2 linked regions of the Nothobranchius furzeri genome follow. The protein of the gene in region 2 interacts with the protein of the main gene of each other region in a biochemical or structural test. Links are inferred from orthologs where the notes say so. Each region holds a gene or a part of one and is shown on either strand. Other genes may lie near its edges.

The links.
Region 1: the proteins of fen1 (region 2) and hus1 form a complex in vitro, tested with the Homo sapiens proteins (2 studies listed by BioGRID). The link is inferred for Nothobranchius furzeri from reciprocal best matches to the Homo sapiens genes FEN1 and HUS1.

The regions. Positions count from the first base shown.
Region 1 is NC_091747.1:63,755,236-63,770,969, forward strand, and holds hus1 (checkpoint protein HUS1), read right to left. Parts: upstream 9,303-15,734; 5' UTR 9,194-9,302; coding exon 9,142-9,193; intron 8,888-9,141; coding exon 8,760-8,887; intron 8,275-8,759; coding exon 8,098-8,274; intron 7,912-8,097; coding exon 7,804-7,911; intron 7,731-7,803; coding exon 7,656-7,730; intron 7,360-7,655; coding exon 7,260-7,359; intron 7,170-7,259; coding exon 7,035-7,169; intron 6,856-7,034; coding exon 6,773-6,855; 3' UTR 6,540-6,772; downstream 1-6,539. Other genes in the region: melanoma receptor tyrosine-protein kinase, read left to right, coding at 26-170, 437-556, 644-742, 882-1,067, 1,327-1,482, 1,697-1,772, 2,414-2,560, 2,639-2,736 and 3 more. UniProt on the Homo sapiens protein: Component of the 9-1-1 cell-cycle checkpoint response complex that plays a major role in DNA repair. The 9-1-1 complex is recruited to DNA lesion upon damage by the RAD17-replication factor C (RFC) clamp loader complex.
Region 2 is NC_091747.1:42,121,645-42,137,305, forward strand, and holds fen1 (flap endonuclease 1), read right to left. Parts: upstream 9,728-15,661; 5' UTR 9,619-9,727; intron 9,582-9,618; exon of another isoform or gene 9,484-9,581; intron 9,378-9,483; 5' UTR 9,368-9,377; coding exon 9,286-9,367; intron 9,099-9,285; coding exon 8,996-9,098; intron 8,881-8,995; coding exon 8,778-8,880; intron 8,637-8,777; coding exon 8,573-8,636; intron 8,476-8,572; coding exon 8,366-8,475; intron 6,259-8,365; coding exon 6,122-6,258; intron 6,044-6,121; coding exon 5,977-6,043; intron 5,905-5,976; coding exon 5,773-5,904; intron 5,695-5,772; coding exon 5,543-5,694; intron 5,230-5,542; coding exon 5,115-5,229; intron 5,037-5,114; coding exon 4,959-5,036; 3' UTR 4,598-4,958; downstream 1-4,597. Other genes in the region: sialic acid-binding Ig-like lectin 12, read right to left, coding at 194-271, 1,131-1,391, 1,468-1,779, 2,103-2,480, 2,596-2,704; tm9sf1 (transmembrane 9 superfamily member 1), read left to right, coding at 10,826-10,984, 12,160-12,291, 12,442-12,564, 12,650-13,008, 13,080-13,234, 13,302-13,487, 14,985-15,258, 15,332-15,661. UniProt on the Homo sapiens protein: Structure-specific nuclease with 5'-flap endonuclease and 5'-3' exonuclease activities involved in DNA replication and repair.

The sequences.
Region 1 (15,734 bases), about 22 Mb from region 2:
AATCCCTCCCTGTTCGTGCCGACAGCACTACGACCAACTCCACGCTGGCGGTCGGCGTGGTCGGAGGACTCCTGGTGGCCGTCCTCGTATTGCTGCTCATCGTTGTGTTGCTACGGCGACGGCGAATCAAGCAAAAGAGGACGATCCGCCGCCTGCTGCAGGAGAAGAAGGTGAAAGCACAGATTTAATCTGATGACGTGTGGTTGAATTCTGGAATAGTTTTCCAGCCTGGAGCTGCTGGATCAGCTGGAGGAAGTCTACAGGTTTCCTTCTTCAGGTGTTTACGGAGATGTTAAACGTGTGTGTGAAGATCTTTTTACATGAGCAGCAGCGGACGCGTCAGCTCCGTCATTATTCCCTAAAACGTTCCCGGTGAACTTGGAACGTCTGGGAATCATCACAATGTTCTTTCGATTCTGTTTGGGTTTAAACTCAGCTGGAGCCGCTGATTCCGAGCGGTCAGGCTCCTAATCAGGCTCACCTGAGGATCCTGAAGGAGACGGAGCTGAAGAAGGACCGGGTGCTCGGATCCGGAGCCTTCGGAACCGTCTATAAGGTAGAAGAGCTCCAGGGCTGGATGTGTTCAGCGGTGTTCTCCATGATTCATCAGGGAAAAATCATCCCATGGTGTGTCGTCTTTTAGGGTTTGTGGTTTCCTGAAGATGAGAATGTGAGGATCCCCGTGGCCATCAAGGTCCTCAGAGAGGCCACGTCCCCCAAAGCCAACCAGGAAGTCCTGGATGTAAGGATCTTCTCAGCTTCTCCTCTGATTGGTTTATTCCTGACCTGTCTCTGGACGGAGGAGGTCCTGGGTGGAGATGTTTCTGACCCGTGGCATTAACCAGACGTGTGTTTGTGACCCTGATGCTTGCATCGAGCAGGAGGCCTACGTGATGGCGAGCGTGGATCATCCTCATGTGTGCCGTCTATTGGGAATCTGCCTGACGTCGTCGGTGCAGCTCGTCACTCAGCTGATGCCCTACGGCTGTTTGCTGGATTACGTCCGACACCACCAGGAGACCATCTGTGGTCAGTGGCTCCTGAACTGGTGTGTTCAGATCGCCAAGGTGAGCCTTTAAGTCCGCGCCCGAGGCGCTGCTTCTGTCCACGGCTTCCTGTAAGCCTGCAGCGGCTCGTTAGCAGGAACGCTGATGGATACTCCTAATCCCCTTGGTCAATTAAAAATCCTGTTTGGAAGTTAAAATGATGGGAAAATCAAAAATGAGGCCACAGACTTGGTGTGAAATGAGCTGCATGGATGCAGAAGAGCTCCTGGAGTTAGGGGATCATTTCTGTGGTTAAAAGGTGTTTCCTGTTTCTGCTCAGGGGATGAGCTACCTGGAGGAGCGTCACCTGGTGCACCGAGACCTGGCAGCGAGGAACGTCCTGTTAAAAAATCCAAATCATGTCAAGATCACCGACTTCGGCCTCGCCAAGCTGCTGACGGCCAACGAGACGGAGTACCACGCCGATGGAGGGAAGGTGGGTGTCCAGTCCGGAGCTTCACGTGGTTCTGAAGGAGTCGGAACACGGGTTTAGACCCGTCTGGAGGAGCTTTACATGCAGCACAAATTAAAGATAAACTCACCAGAGGACATGAGGTCACCAGGAAACTCGTGCATTTACCAAGCTCAGGTTCTTGAAGCGACCCGGTTCTTGTGGTTCTTTTGGATGTTTGGACTTTTCCTCTCTGCAGGTTCCCATCAAGTGGATGGCGTTAGAGTCGATCCTCCAGTTCACCTTCACCCATCAGAGCGACGTCTGGAGCTACGGTGAGGCGGCGTCACACCAAACGCTTTTCATTTCCTGTTTGTTGCCTTAGAAATCGCATCAGCCAATCAGGAAACAGGAATGAGCAACGACGGAATTTTAATTCACTGGTTCTGGAGAAAAAACAAGTTCAGTTGCTTTAAAATGGGAAGTTTTACTCCAACTGAAGGTTTTCATCATCATCATCATCATTCTTTATTCACCACAACCCGAGGCGACCCGAAGCACTTCACGTTAAAACGGTTCCGAACAAACCCGGAACAAACTCCAAAAACACGTCTGATCAAAACCTGATTCATAAAAACGTGTCCTCAACCCAATCGTCAAAACCAAGGGAGAGTCCTTAAAATGAGATGGGAGATCCCGGACAAGACCCCACATGTTCTGCCATTCTTACGTAGAAAATATCAAGAATAAAAAACAAAAACACGAAGTTATTTTGTTACGTGTCTCTGATACAGACTAATCTGAGATGATTTGGTTTAAACGTAAACTTCTGCTGAAGGATTCCCAGTAACCGTCATAAATAACTAATTAATAATGATGAATAGATACACACTTATGTGGGAGCGATGATGTCTGTGGAGGCTGTGCAGCTGCAGCAGGTGTGTGTTAGTCAGCTCTAAGCCTCCGTGCCCTACAGGTGTGACGGTGTGGGAGCTGATGACCTTCGGCTCTAAACCGTACGACACCATCCAGGCCAGAGACGTCTCCTCGGTGCTGGAGAGAGGAGAGCGGCTGCCTCAGCCTCCCATCTGCACCATCGACGTCTACATGATCATGGTGAAATGTAAGGGGACTCCGTTCTGGATCTGGACTCTGACCTCGGTGTGGAAGATCAGCTCTTCTGACCTTTGTCTTCCTGCAGGTTGGATGATCGACCCGGCCAGCCGGCCTCGCTTCAGAGAGCTGGTGGCAGAGTTCTCTCAGATGGCTCGTGACCCGTCCAGATACCTGGTCATACAGGTGTGCCACTGGTCTGATCCGACGGTGCTGTGGTGAAAATCTGATGAATGTTCCAGTTAAATGTAAACAACAACGGACTTGTGTCTCAGGGTGACCTGCCGAGTCCGTCCGACAGACGGTTTTACTCTCGCCTGCTGAGCTCAGACGACCTGGACGACGTGGTCGATGCAGAGGAATACCTGCAGCCGTACAAAGGCCAGAGTAACCATGGCAACCACCCCTGCAACACCATGGTAAAAACACACGCAAGAGGCGACGTGCACAAAGAGTTTAGCACCAGTTTTCATTCTAAAGGCAGTAATTATGACTGTTTGACTCTGGTACGGAGACCCAGAAGGGTCACTTTTAAAGTCAGTCATAGGTTACCCGTCAAATTTACAATCAATAAAAATGATTTAATGAGTCAGGAGTTTTCCTGTCTTTAGTCATGATGTAAAACACAATAACTGTGGAGTTAAAGCAACGATTCTAATTTTCTGGTATCATGAAGTAAAAGTTTGAAACACATGATTCTGTTGTTCTAAGTCAAAGTTATACTAAGTAATATAAAATACATAAATATGATCCGGAGACTTTTCATAATTCTGAGTTTCTGAGTCCTAATTAGTTTTAAAAAGTCATCATTTTAAAACACAAAGTCTGATTTTTAAAGTCATAGTTCTGGTTTCGTCTGATGGTTACGACTGTTCTGGGATGACCTGCTGTACCTCTGCCGGCCACCAGGGGGCGGAAGACGTCCCATCACTGGTTGATCAGCTGTTTAAACACAGATAATTATTTATTTATCTGTTCATGTCAGGTCGGCCGTCCGATCAGAGAGAACAGCATGACTCTGCGTTACAACGCTGATCCCACCCGCGGAGCACTGGTTGCAGGAGGCGTCACCGGACACGGTACTGGTTCAGACCAGACCTGAATGATCATCACTGCCAGAGTTATTCCTGATATGTTTCCTGCTTTCTCCCAGACTACACGAACCAGAGCGTGAGTGAAACCAGACGCAGCAGCAGCAGGCTATCAGAGGTCTTTAATCCCAACTACGAGGACCTGAACCAGTCCTGGGCCACCAAGTCGTTTTCTGGACCGGAGTACCTAAACATGACCCAGAGCTCGCTACCCCCGGAGGATGGCGACAGCCTCCGTAGTCCAGACTACAAGGCCAATTTCCTGTCTCTGACCAGCAGCACTTCTGAGGCTCTAACAGGGGACGGCGTGTTCCTCCCTGCTGCAGAGAACCTGGAGTACCTGGGTCTGGGTGCTGCGCTGCACGCACCCCTCCGCTAGGGGGCAGCAGCGCTCAGACAGCTGAACTTTGATGTAGTTTTCTCAGGAAACTCCGTCCTTAAACAGAGCACTGACTGAAGCATCACTTCAGTTACAACATTCCCTCAGCTGGAATTTTCCTTTCGTGAGAAAATGTTTGAGACGTGGGTCCAAAGATGAATCCAGATCCTGGATCAGACCCTGGTTTCATCCTGGACTAGGATGGTTCCTCTGGACTTCATCCTTCTTCACATTTAATGACCTGAGCTCATTTAAACTTGATAGAAATGAGCTTTTAACGATGATCAGTGACCGAGATAACAAAAACAACAGAAGAAGCAGAAAGGAGATCTCTGGAAATGCAGAAGCTCATAAAAGAGCGATCACATGGTGCGTTATAACTGGGTCATAATTAAGAGATCCGCGTTTAAAATGTTGATTTTTAAACCCGTTCTAAAGAAACAGTCATGATTGTGAATTTTGGGCCTCTATAGAAAAACCAGCTGAGCTTTGAGACGTTTGTTGTTTACAGCTGCTCTACACTGGAGATGTTTTGTTGTTTATTTGTAAATAATTTATAAAACTACAAACTGTGAAGTGGTTCCTGTAGGGGAGTGTCGTGTGGAACATCAGCTCCCCCAGCTGGTGAAGAGGTGAAACTGCAGCTTCAACTAAAACAGTATAGAATAGAATAGAATAGAATAATAGAATAGATACCTGATCACTCCCACGTGAACCAGTTCAGCCCTCTGCTCCAAAAGGATGTGATAGGAGAGGAAGACCGGAGAAGGAGACATTAGTAAACACTTTCACGCATCATTTCCTGTCCTCCTAAAGCCACGGAGGAGTTCTGATTCCCGTTTTTAACACAAACTGATGAAGAAGCAGAACCTGGGCAGACGCTTCTGTTGATGTGATCATTTAACTCGTGTTTGATTGTTTTACTGAGCTGTAAATAATCTGTCTAACTCCAGTTAAAAGGTCCTGCTGCTGGTTTCTGCTGGTTGTTCTTCTGATTACCTCACAGGACTTCTCATCTCTGGATGAGGAAGATGAATATGTGCCCCAGAAGAATCTTTACGAAGACGAAGGTCTGAACAAGCAGGAGTCACACGAGGCTCTGGAGCGAGATCTGATCTGAAGTCCCGGCCCGCGGTTTGTGGCCCCCGCCCGCCCCCCCCTGCAGCAGCAGCTGTCTCTGGCATCATGGTGATCCAAAGGTACAATGAACTGGGTGACAGAACCAGCACCAGCACTGGCATTATGGCAGCAACCAGGGCCACCGACATGTCAGGGGACACTTCATCCAGCTTCTCTGATGTTAGCTGATGGAGCCTCTGTGGACTAGCTCCACCTGCATCTTACCAGCCAGGTGAGTCAGTCAGCAGGTCTAGAGGAGCCTTGGGAGACTCGTCACGAGCTTCAGGATGTGTTGACGGGTGTGGGCGTCCTCAGGCGGCTGAGCTGATGCTGTCTGTCCCTTCAGCTGGAAGCTAATCAAACACACGTGCAAACATGGATGTTAATCATCAGTGATGTAGAAATAACAGGACACACCTGAGGAACAGGTTATTACAGAGCTCACCTGCTGCAGGCTGACCTTCAGAGATGGGGTGGTGCTGATGCTGCTGACTGACTCGTAGCATAGAGCACATCCCAACCGTCACACCGCTGCATTTGGCTGGTTGTGTCCTGCTTCATTTTACAAACACAATTGATCTGATTCCTACATTTACTGTAATTATTGACGAGGCCGCAGCGTTCATTAGGAACAACACACCTGCTGCAGGGTGGTGGTGGTGTGGATGCTCCAGCAGCTGCTGCCTGGAGACACCTGCAGACAGACGTTACTGTACAATCTAATCCATCACAGCCTGTCGGCGCCAAACTTCATCTTCAAGGCAAAAGGGCGGCACACGACGAGCAGACAAAAACAAACAAACAAAGCTGATAAACCAAAACAAAACAACAAATCAACTGAAGATGTCGTCCGAGGACAGATCTGCCCCCACAGGTTAACCCTACCCCTCTGACATTTACTGTCATTGTTCAACAATCATCTTCTGGACTTCATGCCTTCTCCTCCAGCCGTGGTTCTGGACAGCTAACACACAACCAGAACTTCCAGACCGAGTCAAACCAGGAATACCTGGAGGAACCGCACCTTAAATCCTGCTTTTCCTCCCATCCAAGGATCGTTTAGTAGAAATGACCACAGGTCACCCACTGAACACCTGATGACATCACCTGATGATGTAACATCTGATGGAAACACAACAAACTCCAAAACTCCCACATGGAAGCAGAAAGAATTCCTTTAAGGAATGCTGGGAATTCATTTAGTCGTGTTTGATCACCTTTGATTTTTCTGATGGCTGAAACTGGGCTCAGTCATGTGACCTGCTGCTCCCAGAGGCTCATGGGTAATGGAGTTGTTGAAAGTTCTAGTTTATAACTTCCTGTTTAGTTTAGTGATAAAAACATTAATCATCAGAATTCTGATTTAGCTCTAAAATAAAAATAAATGTAATAAAAACACAAAACTGTAAACAAGTTTTATTTAATCAGACGTTGATCCAACAAACTCGTGTAAATGTGAGTTTTCCCGTCATCTCGGCAGGAATCGGAATTACTATTAAACACAGAAAACCCACGGAGAGCCATTCCTGTCTGCTGATTGGCTCTTCACGTCACCAACAGGACCAGCTCAGAGAAACTGGTTCCAGCCGGTTTTTGTCTCCCAACTGAAACTCCACAGAAGCCTGCAGGAGCTTCAGGCCACAGCAGGAATGAAATACTGCAGAGAGACGTCATCGTGCAGCAGGATCAGGTGGACCACGCTCTGATGGACGATGTCTGAGGAGACCAGAAACCTGAACTCAGATTATCACACGCTTCTGTAATCTGAGTTTCTAGTCAGAAATAATCTGGTTTTAGACATGATCACATGCTGGGTTCGCTAGGATCTGATCAGTCCTGTAAGGAGCACCGGGCGGGGTCTCCTCTGGCTCTAACTGCTTTAAGACTCAACTCACTGCACATGGCTTTGCTGGGGTTGACCTGCTGACCCACGAGGAACTGCTGCAGCTTCCTGATGTCCACCCGGACCTCCGCCATGGCCTCTGGGTCCCTGCTCTGAGACGCGCCGCCATCCTGCGACGCGGCGTCTCCTGTGGAGACATGAGGAGTCATTCTGGTGACCTCCACCACGTTGGGGTTAATCTGAGGAACCGGTAGGCGGATGGGTCCAGATGTTTTACCCCATGAAGGGTTCCCCAGGTCTTTGAAGTGAGTGGTGACAGAAACCAGGTCGGTCTCGATCTTCAGGTTCATCTCTCCGCTCAGATTGGCCTCCATCACCTGGAGTTAAACGTTAATCTGCATCAAACCGGCAGCTTAAGCTCTCCTGATGTGGCTTTCAGGAAGTTTAACTCGGATTTTTAACCAGGAACTAGTTAAACTAACGAGTCTCATTGACAGAATTACTCGTAGGCTGCAGATCAGTTTCTCTGTTGGCTGACTCAAACATCTTCACCTTTGTTGAGTGTTAACTGAATGAAAGATTATATTCTTAAATCGCTGCAGAACTGACGGGTTCTGGCCCAACAGCGCCACCTGGTGGCCGTTAAAGTTCCTCATCTGGGAACTGATCCTACCAGGAAGTTGGAGAGGTTCTTCATCCTGTCGACGACGTTCTTCATGGTCTTCAGAGGCGGCAGGTAGATGCTCACCTGCAGAGACAAGCAGTGAGACGGGCCCGCTTCAGGAACCCAAAACTTTAACAAAGATTCAAATCAAGCTCACGTCGAAGTCCGGCATGCTTGGTTCTTTAAACTCGTGCCAGAGACTCCGGGGAACGACTTCAACCGGAACGTCGTGGGTAACGACCCGACTGTTGCTGGACAGGGAGGGCTGGACGGGTCAGAGGGAGATCAGGGTCATGAACTGAGCCCGATTAGACTAACTCAGAACCAGTATGCTGCATCTGAACCTCTAAACCAGAACCTTCAACATTCTGGAGATGATTTATATGAGAATCAGAACATTTATGGAGCCAGCGCAGCAGAACCAGAGTCCGTGGTCCTCGGCCTGTCTCACCAGCTCGGCGGCGACAGTCAGACAGGGACAGTGCTTCTTGGTCAGCTTGACTTTGACCGACTTGGCGTTCTGGACCGTCTTCAGGGCTCTGGACAGGTTTTCTGGCGTCACCTCCAAGCAGATCTCATTAAACTCCGAGGACACGCCCTCCATCTGGAACTCATCGAAGAAGTTGGCCTGGAGGGAGGAAGCACTTGGCATTAGCCCGGTCACGGCCTGGACCTCATACCAGTATGTTCTGGTACCATCAGGCCCCTGGTTCTGACTCGTGATGCGTTTGTGTTCTCAGTTACCAGGAAAAGCGCCATTGACTTTGGGTCAAGCTCAACATTTTCTGATGTTCTCACCGTACGAAACTTTATTTATAAAGCACATTTAAAACACAACACGAGAGCCGCCCAAAGCGCCGCGCAGGCTGGACTAAAACACGACCAATCAAACAACAACAACAACAGACCATAACAATACCGATCAATAAAAGCTAATAAAACACGAGGAATACTAAGAACACACTTCTGGAACTAAAGTGGAGGACCACTAAAGGCCCGCGGGCCGCAGCTTTACCAACACCTGTGATGCATTCATGATGTCAGACCGACAGCTGTCTTGTTGTTCTGGTCCCCCCCCCCCCCCCCCGGGCTAAAGGAGCCACCTGAGCTCACCTGATGCAGCTCACACCACATGCTGACCCCCCCGTTGGTCACTTTACCGGACAGAACAAAGAACAGGTTGTCTGGCGTCAGCCGCATGACGCACGTCTTGGTCAGCTTAGAGATGGTGGTGATCACTCCTGGAGACACAAACACGTTTTAAAACTACTGACCGACTGTAATGCGTCTCAGACTAAATAGTAAAGTTTTCTCTGACTCTGAACATGTTTTATTTAAAGATAAACGGGTTTTCATTCACTGCTTTTATAACAAATAATTTAATTCGAACTCAACACCAAAACAGAAAGCGAGCTAACATGTTAAGCTAACACGTTAGGCTAACATAAGCTACTAACACGTTAGCACCGCCAGACAAACGTTTATAAAAACTCACGACTAAAGTGGTTTAAACAGGCGACGTCGATGATTTTCCCCCGAAACTTCATATTGACTTTAAAAACTTTAATCTAAACTTAAAGAGAAGAGAAAGGAGGGAGTTTGTTGTGTCCGCCTTTAAAAAGGTCCGACGGAAACAGCAGCTTTCCTCTGTTAAACGTTCCTATTAACAGAGAAATCGGCGACACTTAAAATGATAAAAACATGGTTGGTTCTGGATCATCCCTTGAGTTAGGAGTCAATTTCTACCTTAAATCAGGTTCGAGTGAATTAAAGACCAGGAACAGGAGGGTGGGAAGAAAGAGATGAGGACTGGGTCAGAGGTTCTGGTCTGGGTCAGAGGTTCTGACCCAGTCCACCGTGGGTCCACCTCCTGGGTCAGAGGTTCTGGACTGAGTCAGGAGTTTTGGGCGCTAATTTAAATATGTTTTAGTTAAATGAGAAAAAAAGTTTGTTTTGTCTTAAAATGTTTTTAAAAGTTGCTAAAAAGGAAGAAAATAGAGCAAAAATTTTTTATTTCCTCATTTGATAGCAGGTCAAATCCAAATTTAAAGGCAAATAAATGTTATAATACATTATTTTTACTTTAAAATCTCAAATAATTTTTCTGAATGGGGTTTGTTCTGAATGGGTAGTAAAGCGAAATGAAAGGACTGATCCTGTTTATGCTCCTGATTTACAGACAAAACAAACCCGTTTCATTTGTTTTCATTTCAGCATAAAATCCTTTTATATCTCAGCAACTCTGAACTGATTAAACCAATAAACAGATATTCTGTATGGAGGCTCATCAGTTATTTCACTATTTCACTTGTTCAGGCTGGCTTTGTGTGTCCTTCATCACCCTCTCCTGTTCTGCTCTCCCCACCTACCCCACCTTCCTCAGGATCCACTGATCTCCCTTCTTGTCTATTTTTTGCTCATTTTAAATATATTTTTAAACATTTTCTGAATGCTTTTTTATATTTTTTGTTTTTGTGAAGCACCTCGTGATTTTTGTCTTGAGAGGCAATATAGAAATGATATTTTCTTCTTCTTTCATGATTTCTTCTCTTTATTTGCTGTTTGATGAAGTAAATTAGCTGAATATATAAAATCAAATTTAGTTTTGTGTTTTCTAACCTTTCCTTTTCTGTCTGCTATTTTCCTTGTTCTTGTGTTGTTTTGATTGTTTTTGGTCTTTAGAAATAAAAAGCTTAACTTTCCCTGAAACCAAACAGGTCTAGGTCCTTCCTAAGCTCCTTAAAGCTCTGGAGCAGCGGCAGGGTTCCTCCCAGAACCACTGGGTTCTTCATTCATTTACTAAATCTATTATGATTCATTAAACTAAACCAGAATCAGACGAGACTCAAATGAACTCTAGCCCTGTTTAAAGCATTTTATTTTTTTAAAACCTCTGGGATCATAAATAAAAGTCTGAAGAGTTTCTGCCTGGAGCTCAAAGTCAGATAAAGTTTTATGTAAGAACTTTCTGTGACTAATCCTCTCAGAACCTCCTGATCTATGGAGCTAGGATCGGGACAATATTCAGCGTAACTTGTACCAAGTTTTGTAACTTTGAACATGTTTCATCACATGTAACTTTGGATTCGTAACTTGTAACTTTAGTTTTCTAACTTGTAATTCTCAGTTCGTACTTGTATTTCTTGTTTTGTAACAGGAACGTTGTATTTTGTACATGTATTTTTTATTTTGTAAAATCAAACTTTTATTTTGTACATTTACTCATTTTGTAACATCAAACATTCATTCAGATACATGAAACTTTCGTTTTGTAACTAGCAGACTTCCAAAATAAAAAAAATCAAGGTACAAGTTTGAAATCAAAACTCTCAAAACACACATTTCATTCTACAGGTACAACCCTCAAATCTACAGTTACGGATCTTTTTGTCTCGATTCTAGCGTCAGTGGGAGGAACTTGGGTGGAACCAATGAGAGCACGAGTCTTAGCTACCAATCACGTTTCTCGAATTCCTGTCCAATCATTGGGAGAGGAGGGCGGGGTTCTGTCAGAGCTGTAGAGAGAGAGCTGCGACACTCTTTGAACTCGCCGACTCGCGGTCACGTGGTTCACGGAGCTCTCAGTTCCAAACATCCCAGCGCCGTAAGTCAGTTTGAACGGCGTATGGTGGGACAAATCACAAAAATTTAATATAATCACATTTCCCCTGGTGATTTGTGGTATTTGTTGAATAATATTATATATTATATATATATTAAGTCCTAACTCCTTCACAAAGTGGCCTATTTATATTTTTCCGAGCATTTGTAGGAAGACAGACAGCCGTGACTGTTCTACATTACAGGAACACGACAGTCCAAACACTGTAGAACACATTTAGACCACATACATTACTATAATATACTATAGCAATAAATGTGATGTAGTAATGCAACACACTGCTTTAATATAAGCATATTTAATAACTTTAAGTCCTGCAAGAAGCCCTAAACTCAAGTTGTAATATCCATTTTAAAGTGTTTATTAAAGCTAGAATTTTGCTCCAGCTTACCTTGAAGAAAATATGTAGGTGTTTATGCTTAGAATGATGATCTATTATGTTCAGTAGAATACATTTTACAATCATTACTTTATATTTTTATGTGAAGACAGCACATGCATCTATAACCCAGCTTATCTGGTTTCTATAGCAACTAATTACAAAGAAAACTTCAATAAAACTGTATGGTTCATCACAGTAGATAAAAAAGTGTTAACTGTGAAAAAATGAACACAAACTTGTACAACATGTATAATAGCATTTTTAATAAAGCATTTTACCAACATCATGTTTAGTCATTACATATGCACAAATAAGCTGAATCATTCATTATGAGCAATGTACTCAAGACCTAATGAAACTCTTTTGAATAACTTTATTTTGATTATTATTAAATTAAAATGTGTTTGTGGGTTAAAATTTGAAATTACAAATTTTAGGGTTGGAGAAAGTTTTAAATGTAATTTTACATTTCTATATTTTTGGTTCTGTTCAATATTTCTATATGTACAAAAATAGTATTTTAATAATCCCTTTATAGGTTGAATATCTTACATAGTTGGCTGCGCTGCATATAGCAAACGGTCTGATGGAGGAATCAGAATTACGGCTTCCCCAAAGACGCAGAGAGAAGAAGAAAATGGTTGGCTCGAGTCAGCAGGAGCAACCTCACCATGACCAGAGATCACAATAACAAAAAGCTGTGTGCAGTCAGTTTAATGTGCACTCTCACATGTTTTCTATCAAGGCTCTACATGTTCTGCTCTCAACTGCAAAAGGCTGCAATTAAACTGTTAAATGTGGCAGGAAATAAATTAATACACCACTCTACAGGCACATGTAGAGGAGGGACAGTTTACTAAGACTAGGCAAGGCAAGGTGAGACTCAGGGCTGATGCTGTTTGTTCATCGCCCTGAACCAAGGAGGAGGAAGGACCCCGCAGTGAGAAGTACAGCAGAACCACTGCATGTTGATCCACTGACCAGCGACCACACATGTTGTACTCCAGTAAACTGTGGTACCAATCTTTTGAAATATTAAGACATTTGTATTTATTTTATTTTAAAATGATTCTTTATTCTAACAGTGCCATTATAAATTCAGAGAATGAGGAAAGCAGCAGCAGCAGTGAGGCAAATGAGATGAGGCAAAGTGAGGGGGGACTTGAGATGGTGTCAGGAGAGAGGGACATCCCAGGAAGCCACGAGGAGCGGGCGTCAGGGCCAGGAGGAGAAAGGAACAGGCTGCAAGCAGGGAACCCAGCTGGAAAACCTAAGGGAGGAAACAGAAAGTCAAAAAGGCATGAAAAACACAAGAGGCGGTAAATGGAGTAAACAGACAATCAAAAAGGCCGTACAGCTCCGTTTTTCAGTGGGTTCAACAGGCTGCAGGTTTCTTCAGGACACGAGTATCCCTCTGCCTGATGTTAGAACCTGCACAGACAAATGCAGCCCGTTAAACTGGAACCAGGTGTGTTAGGAGAGGTGTGTGACATGCTCAGTTTGAAGGTTAAAAACCTGACAGAGATGGAAAGAGAGTGTGTGCTCACTGTGGATGAGATGGCAATCACTCCAGGCGAGCATCACTCCATCACAGACCCAACTGGGTTTTACCACCACCGTTGTTCCTGGTCAGCTCTCCACTCAGCCACTATGAAAACATGAAGATGGACACACAACACAGTTTAACCTTTAATGGTTACATAAGATCTTTGTTTTAGTTACTCTTTGACATTTATTTATTGATAGTTGTGTTATTAATTCTTATTTCTTGTCATTCCTTAATAACAAAATTGCAAATGCTAATATTATAAAGCAAGTGGAAATGAGCAGTTTTATGGAAAATGTCTAATTTTTAAAAGTTATTGTTCAACTGTTCTTGAATTATCTTAATGCTATTCTTATTACTTGAGTCCACAAAACAGAACAACATATCTTCTTATGTTTGTAATCCTGTTTGTCTCATGCTTCAGCAGTTCGTTGTAGTCAGTGTTAACTGAAAAAAATTAAATAATTACTTGTCTTCACAATCACATTTTCTTTATTATTGGTCTCTCCATTTGTGCTTCCATTTCTGATGCGTGTTCGTGTTGATACAGCAACATATTGTACAAAAAATCCCAAATAAAACTAATAATGTAAAAAGTTTATAACCTATTTCAAACTGTGGGGAATATTTTTAAAACGTAGAATCAAACAAACTGAAAGAAACCCGTCTACAGCTCGTCCTCCTGCTCACAACCAACAAGCTGCACACAGTTAGCTCATTAAAGGTTATCTAGCTGAAACTGGCAACATAAAATATCATCGTTGGCTTATTTTGGTACGAAGCGGTTAGCTAACGCTTCACAACGCAACAAAATGATGACATTTCATCAACTTACCGGAGAAAATCCTTCCGAAACACCGAAAATGAACTACGGTCAATGCAGCAGCGGGGCTGTTTGGAACTATTCAAAGCTCCATGAACCACGTGACTCCCGCTTTCCGTGTCGTAACTCTCTACAGCTCTGACAGAACCAGAACCCCGCCCTCCTCTCCCAATGATTGGACAGGAATTTGAGAAACGTGATTGGTAGCTAAGACTCGTGCTCTCATTGGTTCCACCCAAGTTCCTCCCACTGACGCTAGAATCGAGACAAAAAGATCCGTAACTGTAGATTTCAGGGTTGTACCTGTAGAATGAAATGTGTGTTTTGAGAGTTTTGATTTCAAACTTGTACATTGATTTTTTTCAATTTGGAAGTTTGCTAGTTACAAAACGAAAGTTTCATGTATCTGAATGAATGTTTGATGTTACAAAATAAAAAAATACATGTACAAAATACAACGTTCCTGTTACAAAACAAGAAATACAAGTACGAATTGAGAATTACAAGTTAGAAAACTAAAGTTACATGTGATGAAACATGTTCGAAGTTACAAAACTTGGTACAAGTTACGCTGAATATTGTCCCAATCCTAGCTCCATAGAAGGTGTGGACACGGAGGTGTTCACTCTTTTCTCTTCTCCTCGTGGTACCCTTGTGTTTAACTTCGTTCGTTAGCATGTTCTAGATTTGGATTGACTTTTGGATTGACCTTAGTCCGGCCCTTGACTTCGATTTTGGCTTTGCCCGAGCGTAACGGCTTTTCAGGACGACTCAATACCTGGTATATGTGTGTGTGTGTTTATATGTGTGTGCGTGTGTGTGTTTATATGTGTGTGTGTAGGTCCGTGCTGCGCTGCGTCTCCTGTCTGACCCGGCTCAATGGGCAGCTGCTGCTCTGCACATCTTCGTCTCTCCTGTGTTTTTTTTTTTCACACGAGTCGAGTTAAATAAACAGATTTTTATTAACGATGAAGTGTAGCACCAGTGCCCTATACACTGGCACTACCTGGTAGCTGTTGCGGGTGGTCTTTACGTGTGCTTTAAGAAATGCAGCTTGAGTTTATTTCTGATGATGTTCATTATGATGTTTTGTTCCAAAATGTCCAGGATCCATTTACAGCAGTTAAAGTGGGTTTCAGTGAATGCGTTACTTGCCCCAATGACAGTCCGCAGAGTCCGTTACACACAGCCACAGTCCTCGCCACACAGTAAAAAACCGTTTGTCCCATCCAGCCACACCTGAGTCCATTCTGTGTTGGCTTAAGTAGGCTGGTGCTTCCACAAGCAATTAACCAATAGCATGAGGCCAAGCCTCCTCTCAAGTGCACAAAAAGAAATGACACATATGGCTCCTACAAACGACTCGGTTCTGGCTGTGTTTGAGACTCGGTAGAAAATCCAGATTGATCCGATTCGGACCTGGGTTTTTTGTTTTTCTGCATGAAGGCTGTCACAATTTTAGATTAGATTTGTTGACGCTTGTAAACGTTTATGTTTATTGTTTGAGATTAAAGAAAATCAGATTGATGAATAAAGTATTTTCATCTTTTCTTGGTTCGTTTTCTGTTGCAGACTCAGACGATCCGGAGTCAGAGTCGGTTTATTTGTTTCACAGGTTTTTGTTCTATTGGTTTTATTTGTGTAAAAATCTTAAATTCGTCTGAAACTTTATTTAATCCACAGGAACCAAACCCGCTTTTACCCTCTCTTGTATT
Region 2 (15,661 bases):
GAAACCCTGACCCTTCCTCATGAGGGTCTTTGTTGTCCTGGTCCACAGGTCAGATGTTTTGATCACGTACCTGTAGGTGTTGGGTTGCTGTGAAACTACCTGGGGTTCAATTCAGACCTCAGGCCGCTGTGCTGCCATAAACACACCTCACACACACCAAGGAGACAAGTGGTGCTGGGACATTTATACTTACCTAAAGACAATAACTGCACAGATGAATAGATGATCCCAACAATTCCTCCAACAAAAGCTCCCGATGATGAAAAATGTCCTATAAATAAATAAAAGTAAAAGAACGCTTCTAACTCTTGATGAACTTTTACACCGTCTGACAATTTCAACATGTATCTCTTTACCTCAACTAAAGACAAATGTCATAATTTAATTGCACCATAAAAACATAGCTGTTGTAACATTGTATAATTTATTTGTATAATCTGTGTTGTATCATACCATTCCACACTATACCAGTTTATTTATCAAGCACATTTAAAAACAGCATGTGAGTGGACCAAAGCGTTACAGGGGATTCAGCAATTATACAAGACCAACAAGCACTCACGACAAAGAATAAAACATGAAAATAAAACCAAAAACACCCAATCAGCTGATTATTATAAGATTATACTAATAAAACACTAAAATGGTGATTCGTGGATCAATTAACACCGATTCAAGCTAAAATGTAACCCAGTTCAGATCCATGATTTAAAAGCCAGATGAATGAGACATTGTCCTAACTGTGAAATAAAAGGACATATAAACATAATAGTCTCCATGTGCTGAGTCTCATGCTGCTCCCATCCTGCTGCTACATGTTCAAATATTCAATTTTCTTTTCCATTTAAAAAACATCATGATTGTTTCCATTCATTTATTTACTTATTTTTATGATTTAATATCAGTTAGCCGTGGCAGCCATCTTGAACAAGATAATTGATTACTAATTACTTTGTAATTTTTTCATTCAAATCAGCCGAGTGACTCAAGAGGTGGAGAGATGCAGAAATGTTAAAAGTTACAGTTCAGACTACAAAGGATGCTTGATGATGTCTGATTACCCAGATCAAATACAAAACTATAAAGAATCAAAATAAAACAAGTGAAAGAAGAAAATGTGAATAAGTTACCTCCAACTCTTAGTTTGATCCTTGATGACGTCTGATTCCCCAGAACGTTTGCAGCCACACAGTAAAACTCTCCTCCCTCAGAGACGTCGAAGCTGTAAAGCTGCTCCTCAGATACTTGAACGGGTCCCTCTGAGCTGATCCTGAACCAGCTGAAGCTGCTGACGGGAGGCTTGGCTAAACTGGAGCAGCTCAGCGTCACCCAGCTACCTGCTGACACCAAACCTGATGGACTGATGGATGCTGAGGTGTCTTTAGGGGCATCTGAGGAAAATGGGACTCACTTGAACTTTATTGATCAGAAGCAGCTGAACCATGACGTGCTGACAGGATCACTTACAGGAAACATGAAGAGTCACTGTCTCTGTTGTTTTCAGACGTTTTCCTCCATCCACAGGGTATGAGACAGAGCATGTGATGTTGTATCCATCATGTGTGTCTGACAGAGTCACGTTCTCCTGGATTTTAGTTGTAGAGGTTTCATCTGGGTTCTTCTGTGTTTGTCTGCCAGAGTCTGGTTGGAGATTCCAGGTGAGTTCAGGAGGTGAGAGTGGACAGGGAGTCGGAGCTGAGCAGGTTATAGAGACAGACTCCTTCTCCTTCAGCTCCTCCAGACCTCCTGAGGTGGTAATCCTGGGTCTCCAAGGAGAATCTGGGATTTCATGTTAAACAGACCCAAATAAAATATTTAGTTTTTTCACTTACGCATAAATATTTGCCGGCATTCAGTTTTGGACCCCCCACCCCTCTCCATTATATAAATGAGGTCTATTGAGCATGAAATTCCAAAATAAATGGAAATTTCAGATCATTGATCATTGAACACAAATCCCATTTTTGCCTGAAACCAGTTAATTTTCTGAAAGATTGTTTGCTGATCTGAAACATTTAAGTGACAATAAATCAGAATAATGACCTTTCACCATGCTTTTTGTATAGATGTATAAATAACGGCTGAAACTCAGGCCTGCTCACCTTTGACCTTGATTTTAACAGGATTACTACAAGCCGTCGCCTTGAATGTTGCATTCTCAACTCTGAAGAAGATATCTTTTGAGTGATCTTTGGTTAAATTGAAGAACATGGTGGTGCAGTTGTTTTGGCTCAGATTTCCAGTCATTTCCATCGGATAGTCTCTCACTGACCCACTGCTGTTGAAAACCACATTTTCTGGGTAGTCTGTGAATTTGGGATTGTCTTTGATCCACACTCCAAAGGTGATCCCTGAGAGGTGGACCCCTTCTTCACTTTTGAAGTGACACGGGATTATTAAACAAGATCCACTCGTGGCCTTCAAGGTCTTTGAAGTAGTAATGAAGAGCTTTGCTTCGTTAGCAGCACAATATGGGCTACCTGTAAATTCAGTATTCAGTTAGTGGAATGCTGCTCCGTTCTGATGTGCTTTTACTGTTAAAATCCAACTAAGATCATCAATAAACTGTAAAAAACAAGGTGACAAAAATCTCACCGGACACAAAGAGGAACCTCAGGAACAACGTAGATGTCACCAGAATGAGAGACATGACGAGTCTGCAATCAGAACCAGTGTGTAGTTTAAAAACACATTTATGAATCATTTATAATAACTTGAGTAAGTGGTAATCAATCATCAGCTCTCCTGTTTCCACCATGTGCAGCAATGATGGGTGTCTTTTAATAAAAGGACATAAAAACAGTTGGAAAAGTTGTCAGCAGCTTTCTGTTTCTAATAAAGTTCAAATAAAACAATCTAAATCACAAATCTATTAGAGCAACACACACGTATACACAACATATATAGAGTGTTTTAGATAACTAACCTCAGGACAAGAAGTGTCTCACCAACGGACGTCTAATGGTCTGAGCGTGCAATCTTTTTTGAGAACCCACCTCTAGGGTGAGAGACGGAAGAAAGAGAAAGGGGATGTACGGTCGCGTCAAAGTTACTTCAGTTGGCTGCAAAACCAACAGTTACACAAGACTAAAATAAAACTAAACATCGTTGTAAATCATGCCTGAAGAGAAAGCAGGTTTAATCTTTGCCACAGAGAAATTTTCCAAGCTTTAAAGACATTACATCTGAAACAGATGACACCCAGAGCTGTTCCGTTACAGTAAGTACACATATTTGTATACGTGTACTGACTGTACACAAAAAATCTGATTTACTCAAAAAATCGGAATTGAGCACCAAGGTGTAGCCCACTGGAATACGTTCCATATTCTGTTTATTTCATTAAGGGTTGAACAATATAGGTCTCGAGAAATATATATATATATATATATAGTGACAAATGGTTTGGATGATTTCCCATTCGCCCCCTGTAATTTATATCTGTGTCCTGCTGGCACTGTGATGGGGGATATTTTAACCAGACATAAATGTGAATATTGCACTGGTGTGGATGTAGTTACCATTTGGGATTTCATGTTTGCTTTGTATCCAGGGCAGGTTGTGATCATCCCATGATTGGCTGCTTCATTTGGACAAACCAAAGGAAATGGGATTTGTTTCTTTGGTCTTAGTGTGAAAATGTTTCTTGTATTGTAGAAACAGTTTTGTCTTTTGTTTATGTTAACATTTAGGTACATTTATGGGGATGTTTATTTCCTTTTGGATTTAATGTTGGAGCACTGATGATTGGGGCTGATTGTTTGCAGGTGTGATTTTCTGGGGTATTTAAAGGAAGCCAGGTGGAGGCTTGAGGTTTTTTTTGTGTGATTTGTAAAGGAAAGCAGTGAAATAAATGCCTGAGAAGCATTTTGGCTCTCAAGGAAAAATGTCCATGTGCTGCAGTTTGCCTCTACTTCTTTCAACTTGAAGACCTTCTGGCTGCTCTACATTCTCACATATATATATATATATAGAGACATGTCGAGTATATATATATATATATATATTAGTTAATCTATGATGTTACCATCATCCACTCATCATCCAGACTTTAGTAGTTTCTACAGGAGTGGCTCATCACTTAAACAAATCAAACTAGGGAAGCAACAATACCAATTTTTCCCAAACCAATATGATACCCGATACTTGGATCTGAGTACTCGCCGATACAGATACTTCTACCACAAAAATGCAATGAATTGGAATACAGGTTTTATTTTCTTCTCTGCTTTCAACAGGAAGACTGTGAGGTAAATAAAAAATAAAATATATTAATACAAATGATCACAAAACTAAAATATAAGGTGAATGGAAATGACAAGTTATAGTGAAGCCACTTTCAGACAACTGCATTGGTATCGGTTCCTGATATTGGTTAACTTTTACCGCTACCAGTATCGGTATCGGTGGTATCCCTAAATCAAACGTAGAAACACACTCCAGCAACAGGTGTCAGCTCCACTTTTCCTAAGTACAACAGAGAGCAGACCGGCACTCTGAAGTTGCAAGTGGGGTATTCTGGTCACAAAGGGCAGTGGGAATGTGAGTGACATTTCATTAACCCTGTAAAGTCATTTTAGCACAAACTGGCTCAACAAAATGATTTAAAAATATGAAAAATCTGCTTACTATGGTTTTAAACTCTTAAATAAATCACGGAGCTCCCTGAAAAACACAAACTTACCCAAGGGTTATTTTACACCCATAGGTAAACCTTTCAGAATAAAAGCATTAAAGTCTGTTTTTTTGCATCCACGTAAACACCAGTTTTGTTCTTTTGTGAGTTTCTGTGATCATTCACTAAAACACACATCAGCACACCATGTTTTCTACAAAAGTTTGTTTTTTATTTGAAGCACAAAGTTTGAGTTGAAATAATCGTTCTGCATTGCAGTTAAAATCCTTATTTAATATCTAGTATTTATAACAAAAACACTTCAAATGCATCTGATTTTTATTTATTTGCCTTTTCTAAACTTGCCAGGAGTGGCTCCAGTTTTCTGCTTTTTCTTTGCTGATCCTTTGACCTCTGGTTCCTGAGAAAACAAAAATAAAACTGCTCACTGAAGCAGAGATAAAACACTTAATGGCTGCTGAAGGATCTGAGGGGATACCTTTCGTTTTGAGGACAGGGATCCAGTGACGGTGAAGAAAGAGTCCAGTCGCCCCTGAGTGCTGCCCTGTCGGCTCTTCAGGATTTTCTTACAGCCGTTACGGATCCTGTCTTCACTGCAAACACAAAGATTAGTGATCAAGACGACTAAAATCAATAAAAACCTAATTATAATCATTTTAAAGTGTTTTCATATGGGTTAAATTGTGTTTATAAATAATAATAAGGAATGTGGGAGGATTTGCTGTAAAGCGGTGAATGAACTCTCCCAAAAAGATAAAAGCTACTAAACATGACATAAAACAGGCCAACAGCACAGACTAATGGTCAAACGTTGTAAGAACAGCTGCATTAAGCACAGTGAACAGGATCTACAAAGACAATCAAACTCGGTGAAGAATGGGACAGGAAAGTCAACTTTTGACCCACTTGAACTGTTTCTCGTTGCACATGAATTGGATCAGTCCCGCCTCGTCGGGCTCGTTCCACTTCAGCTCCACTGAGGAGCAATCTACCACCTCTGGCTCCAGAAACAAATTCCTGGCTTCTTTGTAGAGCCAGTCCTCCGGAGTGGGGTATTTCTGTAGGAATCAGATTCAGAAGCTGGTCTGACTACATAAGTTCCGGTTAAGATGGGATGAGAGGAAACAATAACTCACACTGGAGTCGATGTTTTCTAGGATCTCCTCGATGCAGCCGTGCTGTCGGATCAGGTCGATGGCTCTCTTGGGTCCGATTCCCTTGATGGTGCCACAGTAATCACAACCCAGCAGAATGCATAGATCTATGAACTGGAGACAGGAGAGATTTTAGTCTCATGCATGATATATTCTATCCTGTTAGGAGAAAAAGTAAAGCCCTACCTGCTCAGTGGTCAGGCTAATGTCCTGCAGGACGCGATTGAAGTGGAACTCCTGAATGGGAAGTTTCCTGAAACAGAAAATAATCATGCATAAAACAGAAACTGTCTCTACAGCAAAGCTTAAATCAGGAACTGGTGGTACATACTTGGCTTCACTAGCAGTGAGGTGTCTGAGCAGGACATTTGTCCCAAAGGTAAGACCGTCCATGTCCTCTGTTGCCGTGGCAAACACCTTTCCTGCTTTAACCAGAGCGGCGCAGGTGGCCTCCGCCTCACATGGAGCCTACACCAAACAAATGGTCATTTAAACTTTATTTAGAAAACAGAAAATATCCATTTATCAGCGTAAAAATCTAAATAATGAACCAGAGCTAGCCAAAAGAATCATTATTATAGGCCTGGTGTGTTAAAGATATCGGCCAGAAGCAAAATTCCTCTGTGTAAAGAAGTATTAAAACCTCAGATGAAAAAGGTTTTTGGATTTTCACGGCTGGAATTTTAAGAAAATCTGATGTTTTTTACTGGCACGGGAAAAACAGAAACTAACTTCCGGTCTAAGCCCTGGGCACCTGGTGACGTTTCACAAGGCGCTCTGCTGAAACAGCTGCAGTAAACAACGCCCGACTCCGGTGTTTCTGCGTTAGCGTTTTAGCAGAGAACATTGTGTCATCAGTCTGATGTAGCTTCTGAAGCCTCTGCTAGTCGGTCAGATATGTTTTTTCTCTGGGATACGGCGACGAGGACGGCTATTGGATTACCGGAGAAGTTCAACCGAACTCCGTGCCCGGCAGCTGGAGATCAGAACCGGAGGTGCAGAAATGCTTTGGACCAACCCGCGGCCCGATTAAGACACCGGGGAGGATTCTGTTTGTCTTCTGAACCAAAATCGGTTCCGTTTGTTAAAGTTTGTTAAAGATTTCAAGCCTGTGCTCCACTGATAGTTTTCAGTTAAGTTCTCCATATTGTCCCAATATAATTCAGTAATCTACAGATGAGTAAAATAACATGTTGCCAGCTTTACCGCTGTGTGTATTTATTGATATAACATTGGAAAATATTTAACCGATTTCTTACCAGAATTAAACTTTCTGATGCTAACTCGCTAGCTTGGATTGTTGTTTTCTAATCCAGGATGACACGGAGGTTCTACCGGTCCTATAGGAGGATCTATTGTTGAAAAATGGGGATCATCATTTAGATTATATGTGCAAGTGTGTGTGTGTGTGTGTGTCTCGTAGCTTTCACAAATTACTTGTTCTTTGCCGGAGCTAACACGGTTAGTGCTGCAGCAGTCATGCTAACGGGACTCGCCTGCAGGAGTCCAGAAGTACCGGTGCGGTTCCAAATGGATTTATAGATGTAGGTTATTATTTTAGATCAAACAATTTTCTGTTTTAATCAGGAAGACGATAGTAAACAAAATACACCGATTTACCCATGCTAGCAACAGCAGCTACCTAAATGGTAAATGGCCTGTATTTGATATAGCGCCTTCTAGAGTCCTGGAACCCCTCAAGGCGCTTTACAACACAATCAGTCATTCACCCATTCACACACACATTCACACACTGGTGGGGATGAGCTACAATGTAGCCACAGCTGCCCTGGGGCGCACTGACGCCACCGGTCCCTCCGACCACCACCAGCAGGCAACGTGGGTTAAGTGTCTTGCCCAAGGACACAACGACAGCGACAGACTGAGCGGGGCTCGAACCTGCAACCTTCAGATTACGGGTCGAGCACTTAACTCCTGTGCCACCGTCACCCCAGTTTGACCCCCTAGTATGACGTGTGTGTGAACGATGTATGCAAAACACGGTTCTTCGCTGCCTGGAGAAGAGAATGTTGATTTTCTGTAATGATTTATGACTAAATTCTTTAACAAAATCAAAAACTGAACCCAGTTCATATTTATATTGATGGTAAAGTGTAGTTATACTGTATTTCTACAATTTTAATGCCGAGTCTGGCCACTACCTTTAAGATCTCAACCCTAGCATTAAAAATACAAACCTTGCATACGTTATGTAAACAACAAACATGCACAATGTTGATTTTTTAAAAAGATATTTCCTCAAACTGTGTTTGACTAAATAATAAGACAAGGATCTCCTGACTGGTGTAGCATTTCACTGGTGACCAAAAAGAACAGCTCAGCTGAATGTGACTTCCTCTGGTAGATCTCCTCCAAACTCTGATTCCAGTTTATTTAAAATAAATAAAACCCGACAAAGGAGAAAAACAACAGAATCCTAAAATTTAAACAAAATAATCACAGCTAAAGAAGATAATTTGTCTAAAATATGAGGACTAAAGCAACTTGTTGGTTATCTGGGGGTTTAAATGCTTGATTATGACTCTACGTGTTAAGAGTTAAAACTTTATTTTACCTCGATGTAAGGCACTCCCATCAGTGTCAGCAGCTGTTTGCACTCATCGTTGTGCTGCTTGGTGACTTTTACAAGCCGCTTGGAGAACTTGTCAATATTCTCTTGTTCCCCTGATTTAAGGAAAAACGTGATAAAGTTGTAAAAGAAACTGTGTAATGTCCAGAGTGGTTTAAAATTCACTTATCGGAATAAAAACGGAACATTTACCCATTTCCTGGGCTTGAGCGAGTAACTTCTCTGCTTCTGCTCTCCTTTCCCCTCTCTTCTCCAGCTAAATGATGAAAAACAGAAATTACAAACTGACAAAAGGTAAAAATCAACATGAGAATGAAAAATAAACCCGTTTTTATTATTATTCCTCCTCTGATGTCACACTGTAGAGAATTCGTTTAGGCTTTGGGTTCATACTGACCTCGGCTGACTTGAGCTGTGGAGGCTTTCCATCAAACACGTACACAGGCTTGATCCCGTTCTCCAACATGCGGATTGTACGGTAGAACATTCCCATCAGGTGGCTACGGAAGAATAAATGACAAAAGTGCCTTGTAGTTAAAAGCAATTGCTTCAAGTGCTAGTTTATCTTTAAATCGCATAAATATCATGAATGAGTCCCTGTTGTTTACACTGCACCTTGTAGTCTCTCCTTCTTCGTTCTGCAGAACATTCCCATCCTGTCGAACAGCTATCAGGAACTGGTAGATGCACATGGAAGCATCTATGGCAATTTTCCTGCCTGAAATGTGTAATTTAGGAAAGACATTAGGCTTTTCAAGAAAATGTGAACATTTGCGATCATGTTTAAGGCCTCGTGTAAATAAAAAGTTAAAATTTTATTTAGACACACAGAATAACTAGAGTATTTTCTCATTTTTGGAGTGCTTAATCATTTAAACGAAGGTAAAGTGGAGCTACACGTTTACCAAAGTAGTTCTTTATGTCTTGTTCCTTAATTGCACCAGGGGCATGGTCAGCGATCAACTTGGCAAGTCCGTGTATTCCCATGGTGATTTATCTGAAAACAGAAATAAACTCAACGTATTAATGCAGCGGCACACAGTGTCACATTCATACAGCAAGACAATGTGTTTGCACATCAGAATACGCTAACGAGTCAACACCTATCAAACCACGACTTTTAGATGACTCTACAGTCAGTAACTGGAAGCTACGTTCAATTGGGGGGTTTCATTACGATACACACGCTACATAAGAGGTTGAATTGATGAAATAACGTCAGTTCTGATAGTCCTCACCAGTTAGCAAAACGTAGTTTAACCACTCGGACTTATCGAGCGCGAGAATCTGCGTGTAACTCGCGGGAAATCAAATTGCAGGCATTAATACTAGAACTGTAGAACGTTGTCCACATTCAATCCGCACATCAATGATGCGGGTGCGATTAAACTGGCTGGAGATCGAGCAGCAGCATCAAACAAACACCTGATTGGTTCATCGGTGTTGAAGGAAATCCGGTTCGTCCTGTAAAACAGTGGAGTCGCCATGCTATGAGCTCTAAACGGTTTAATTGAGGGGTTTAGTGCTTTTAACGATTACAAATAACACTTTTAACTGCGTACGAAGAGAAACACATCCCCAGTCCCAAGTTTCCGGTGTCGTTTCGTGTGTTTTTTTTCTTTTTTTCTCCGCCCACCCCCGGAAAACCAAACTGAGTCGTCGTTATTTTTATTTCTTGAGGTGACGTGTTGGAGCAGTTTTCTCGTGTGTCGGCGAAAATACCGAGTGTACCCGGATATGGACGCGGTGGTTATTATATAGGCTGCATGTAGGATGTCCGTTGTGTGCGTGGGTTGTGAGTGAGCCCCGCGGAAGAGACCGCTGCTGGGGCCCGGAGCCCGAGCAGGAGCCCGGCGGACGGACTGGTTCTGTTGGTTTGGACGCATCGGGACTGGAGTGACACGACAGCGAGACTGGTAAGTCACATTCTGGGAACTAGTCTAACATCTGTTTCACCTTTTGTCACAGAGGGAAGCTTCTTTGTTTTTACAGAGTAACATAAACAAAGCTATTGTGATCTGCTTGGCTTTGGTCTTATTTTTTTAATCTTAAAATCTTCAAGATTCTGTCTGGTAGGCGAAATGTCATTTCCTAGTAATATTTTACAATACGGCGACTTTTATTTGTCTTTAACATTCCTTTTCTGGGTCCTCCCTTTAACTAAATTTAATCTTATCTATTTTAAATCAAATTAAATGCTTCAAAACATTCATCTTAAATGAGTCCAGATAGCTGAGTAGAAACTTGTTTTTAGGATGATCTAAAGTTTAAATCACTATCTGGGTCTTGATTCGTTCATCCATCCAGTGTGAAGAAGAGCACTGCTGGTTACTCACGGCCTCTCAGTTCTAGATTAGATTGTTGTGAGATGCAAACATGAAGTGGGACTCAAATTCAGCATGCCCTCTGACCCACAGGGGTTACGCGCTGTGATACCAGTAAACGATGGCTCCGGTCTGTGTCCTGATCCTGGTCCTGGTCGGCTGGGCAGCGGGCCACAAGCTGGGCGACAATGTGACCCTTTATGTCAATAAAGTAGGTCCATATCACAACCCTCAGGAGACGTATCACTACTACACCTTACCTGTGTGCAGACCGGAAAAGGTCAGTGTTTGATCTGTGTTTCTATGTAATTAGTGTGTTGCAGCACAGAGAAAGGAGGCATTCATTATTTTATTTAAGGTGTAATTTTATCTGACTGCAGCAATAAAAAGATGTCATGTATCGAGAGATGTTAGATGATATGTTGCTTGTTACCTTGGTGCTAACAGGATGAGTGCATATCAGCTTACTTTGATGTTTTCTTATGAATGCATATAATTACTGTGTGTATGTGGACTGTAAACCTTTTCATTTCTTTAAACTCAAGTTGTTTTAATTTAAAAATATCATTCAGTTCATTAAATGGTCATTAATCATTTTTTCTGTTATTTAAGAGCTTAAATATCACCAGCAGCAGCAAAATGAAGCACCTTGGCGCCATCCAGGGGTCAAATCCAGCTGAGATAACTGCGTAACAGAGAAATGTGGGTGCTGGGGAGGAGTCTAAATAAAATAGTGTGAATTTGTGAGATTTATTAAAAGAAAACAGCAAAATAAGCTTTAAGTTTCTTAATAATGAAGGATGTAAACTCAGTTTCTCTGATCAGAAGCTTTTCATGAAACTCCTGACGATGATCAGTCAATCAAATTTTATTTGTAGAGCACCTTCCACAACGTTATCGGAAGCCCAAAGTGCTGAACAGCATCATCATAAGAAAAACATTCCCAGTACATGGGCATAAAAGCAAGATAAAAACATAAAATCATAAAATATCAAGCAAACAATATTACAAATAAAGAGAGATAACGGAAATAAGACTAATCGATCAAAAACAAATGGTGGACAAAATAAAATCAAGCATCTGGGTTAAAAAGAAGAAGAATTAAAACCATAATGTCAGGGCAATTCAAAGAACCCTAGCGCTAAAACGCAATCAAATAAAAATGAGTCTTTAAACGAGACTTAAAGACTTGAAGGGATGGTGCCTGCCTAATGCTCATGGGTCATATTGTATCAGTCCTTATCTATGTTTGTGTTATGCTTCGACAGATTTCAAAATAAGATGTGTTTTGTTCTTTTTGCGGAAGGTTTGAACTCCTTGTAGCTTAAGAAAATTATATTTTGTCGTCTAGCACCAAACTATCAGTGATGAAGGTTGACTGTTTTCAGTCTAACTGCATTAGGTTCTGTTCTGAGCTCATTTTTCTGACATAATCATCGTCACCCTTTAATGCAGGTGCACCACAAGTCCCTGAGTCTGGGAGAAGTGCTGGATGGCGACAGGATGGCAGAGTCGTTGTATCACATCCGCTTCGGAGAAAACGTGGGGAAGAAAGTCCTCTGCCAGCTCACTCTGTCCGAAAAACAGGTCATTTCCAGGAGATAGACTCCGTCATGAACGCACCTTAATTTGCCAACAACGTGTTTAAAATTCCAGAAATTGCAGTTTTTTTTTAAAGTTTTTTGTTGACTAACTTTTATGAACTCTGAAACGCTTGTTGGTGCTTGTGCGCGTCAGGTGGACGAGCTTCGCGAGGCCATCGAGGAGCTGTACTACTTTGAGTTTGTCCTGGATGACATACCCATCTGGGGGTTTGTGGGCTACATCGAGGAGAGCGGCTTCCTGCCTCACAGCCACAAGGTGAGAGGAGGAATCTGGTCTGTGAGGTCGGCTGTTTGTGCTGATCTCTTTCCTTTAACCTGTCGACCCCTTTGACCTTTACCAGGTGGGCTTGTGGACTCACCTGGACTTCAACATCGAGTACAACGGCGAATCTGTGATCTTCGCAAACGTCTCGGTGAAAGACGTCAAGCCTTTCCCCCTGGAGGAGGGGGCGGGTGCTGCGGTGGGTGGCATGGGAGTCGGGGGAGGCAGCCTGACGGTCACACACACCTACAGCGTGCACTGGTATGAGTCCAGTCTGCCCTACGCCCGGAGAGCTGAGCGCCTCCGAGACTACTCCTTCTTCCCTAAAACCCTGGAGATCCACTGGCTGTCAATCATCAACTCTCTGGTGCTAGTGGTGCTGTTGCTGGGCTTCGTCATCATCATCCTCATGAGGGTCCTGAAGAACGACTTTGCTCGGTTAGTGAGCAGAGATTTTAATCTCGCTGGCATCTCAGCCAGGCTCTGATGCACGTCTGTGATCCCTGCAGGTATAACGTGGAAGAGGAGGGCGGCTGTGATGATCTGGACCAAGGAGATAACGGATGGAAGATCATCCACACGGACGTGTTCAGGTTTCCTCCTTTCAAAAGCCTGCTGTGCGCAGTGCTGGGAGTCGGAGCTCAGTTCCTAACCCTCGCCACCGGTGAGTCTTGCGTCAAACAGCCCAAAAAACACCCTGTTGAATTCTAAAACACACCTGTTTGCCTCAGCCATCATCATCATGGCGTTGCTGGGAAGGTTCAACGTACATCGCCATGGCGCCATCAACTCTGCGGCCATCGTCCTGTACGCTCTGACCAGCTGCGTGTCGGGGTACGTCTCGTGTAGCTTCTACACTCAGATCAACGGCCAGCGCTGGGTGTGGAACATCATCCTCACGTCTTCTCTCTTCTCAGGTGAGCGTCTTGACATTCCACCTCACCTTTGGCTCACCCCACATGTTATTCATCTTCTAGATTTTTATCTTGCAACACTTTATTTCTACACTGTTAACCTTCACGCCGGTGCTGTTTTAATCTTGTACTGTACAATTTGTACTATTAACACATGTCTTAACCATTTGGTTCCTTACAAAATGATGGTTAATGGGCAGATAAATAAAATAAATTATGGTTTATTTGAAATAAAATTGATAAATCTGTAGAATGTTTGTAATTTTGAGTCACATTCCTGGTTTTTTAAACCAACAGCAAAATTGTTCAAGCAGGAAGAAAGAAACATAAAAACACACACTAAACATTAGTCTCAAATGTGTTTAATCATTATTTTTTCATTTTTCTAGTCGAAAACAAAAGTTTTTCAGGAGAAACACAGATTAGAAGAGTGTTCACATCATGAATGTATTAAAAATAGCCGCATTGCTCATAATTCTAATAGTTCACAACTCTTGTGTTGGCTGATCTGTTTTCAGATGCGTTAACCATGTATCACCACTAGAGGGTGACACATTATTATTATTATGCCTCACACAGCTTGAATCCAACAAAGTTGTTCCAAAAACATGCTTAATATTCACCAATAAATGGAAACTCAGCAGCAAAACAAGCAATGCTAATTTCATGAAGTCCTAGGCTAAAATTCATCTTCCCTTTGCTGGTTTATGGTTGTAAAAATCCATGTTATAGTAAAAGAAACCACTTTTTTACCTGCTGGAGAGCTTTTTTAAGTATCTGATGCCACATGACATTATTTTTTGGTTCTCCGTAATAAAAAAACTCCACAAAGTGTACTCAGCCGCTCTAAAATACCGTTGAAGAGAGATGCACTGGTGTTATTTTCTTAGCTGACAGGTGGAAATCGACTGAGGTTCAACAGATGACTTGTTCGCACACGTGCTGAGCTTTGAGGATTTTATCTCAGAAAATGTTCTAAAAGGAAAGAAATACTTTGAAAGTTTTTAATCTTTTCAGAAGCAAATAAAACATTGTCAGGGTCCATGTTTGCTGTGTTGCAGGTATTATAAAAGTTTTACTGGTACTGATTCTTATCATTCCAGAAATAAGTCTTGCAGTACATGCTGGACGATTTCACTGCTGTTATGTTTAGTCACACTGCCCGGTTTGAGTCTGTGGTGAAAGAATGAACATCAATGCCTTTTATTTGATTTCCTGGTGATTTTGCTTCTGCAGCAAATGAGTTGTGATGCTTTTTCAGGGCTGAGAGCTTTTGCCAACTCAGCATCTATTTATTTAGCTTTAGCCAATAGGAATCGTGCAGATGAGGGTGTTTGTCAACAAAACAAATTAAATTGGCCAATGAGTTTATGGAACTTACTTTTTATTTAATCAGCTGAAAGAGTTTAAATACAGCTCTCTAATAAATGATTAATGCTTTAATCACACCAGTTGTCCACTGGAAACGCTGATAACACATCTTATTAACCCGGTTTCCAGCTCCTCTCTTCCTGACGTGGAGCGTGGTGAACTCTGTTCACTGGTGGAGCGGCTCAACTCAGGCTCTGCCCGCCACCACCGTGCTCCTCCTGCTCGGCGCCTGGGTGCTGGTGGGCTTCCCCCTCACCGTCATCGGCGGCATCGTGGGAAAGAATCGGGCCGGGAACTTCCAGGCGCCGTGCCGCACACGTAACATCCCCCGGCAGATCCCCAAGCAGCCCTGGTACAAGCACGCCGTTATACACATGGCTATCGGTGGCTTCCTGCCGTTCAGGTGAGGAAATGTTGAATCTGAACATCACAAGTGTTAAGCTTCACACTGAACTCTACTCCAACGCCTCCCTCAGCGCCATTTCTGTGGAGCTGTACTACATCTTTGCCACCGTTTGGGGCAGAGAGCACTACACCCTCTACGGCATCCTGCTGTGCGTCTACGCCATCCTCCTCTCAGTGGGTGCCTGCATCTCCGTGGCGCTGACGTACTTCCTGCTGTCTGGTGAGGACTACCGCTGGTGGTGGCGCAGCGTGCTAAGCACTGGATCCACGGGCCTCTTCATCTTCGTCTACTCAGTTTTCTACTACCGGAATCGGTCTTCCATGAGTGGGCTGGTGCAAAGCACGGAGTTCTTCGGATATTCGCTGCTCACAGCGCTAGTCTTCTCTCTGATGCTGGGCAG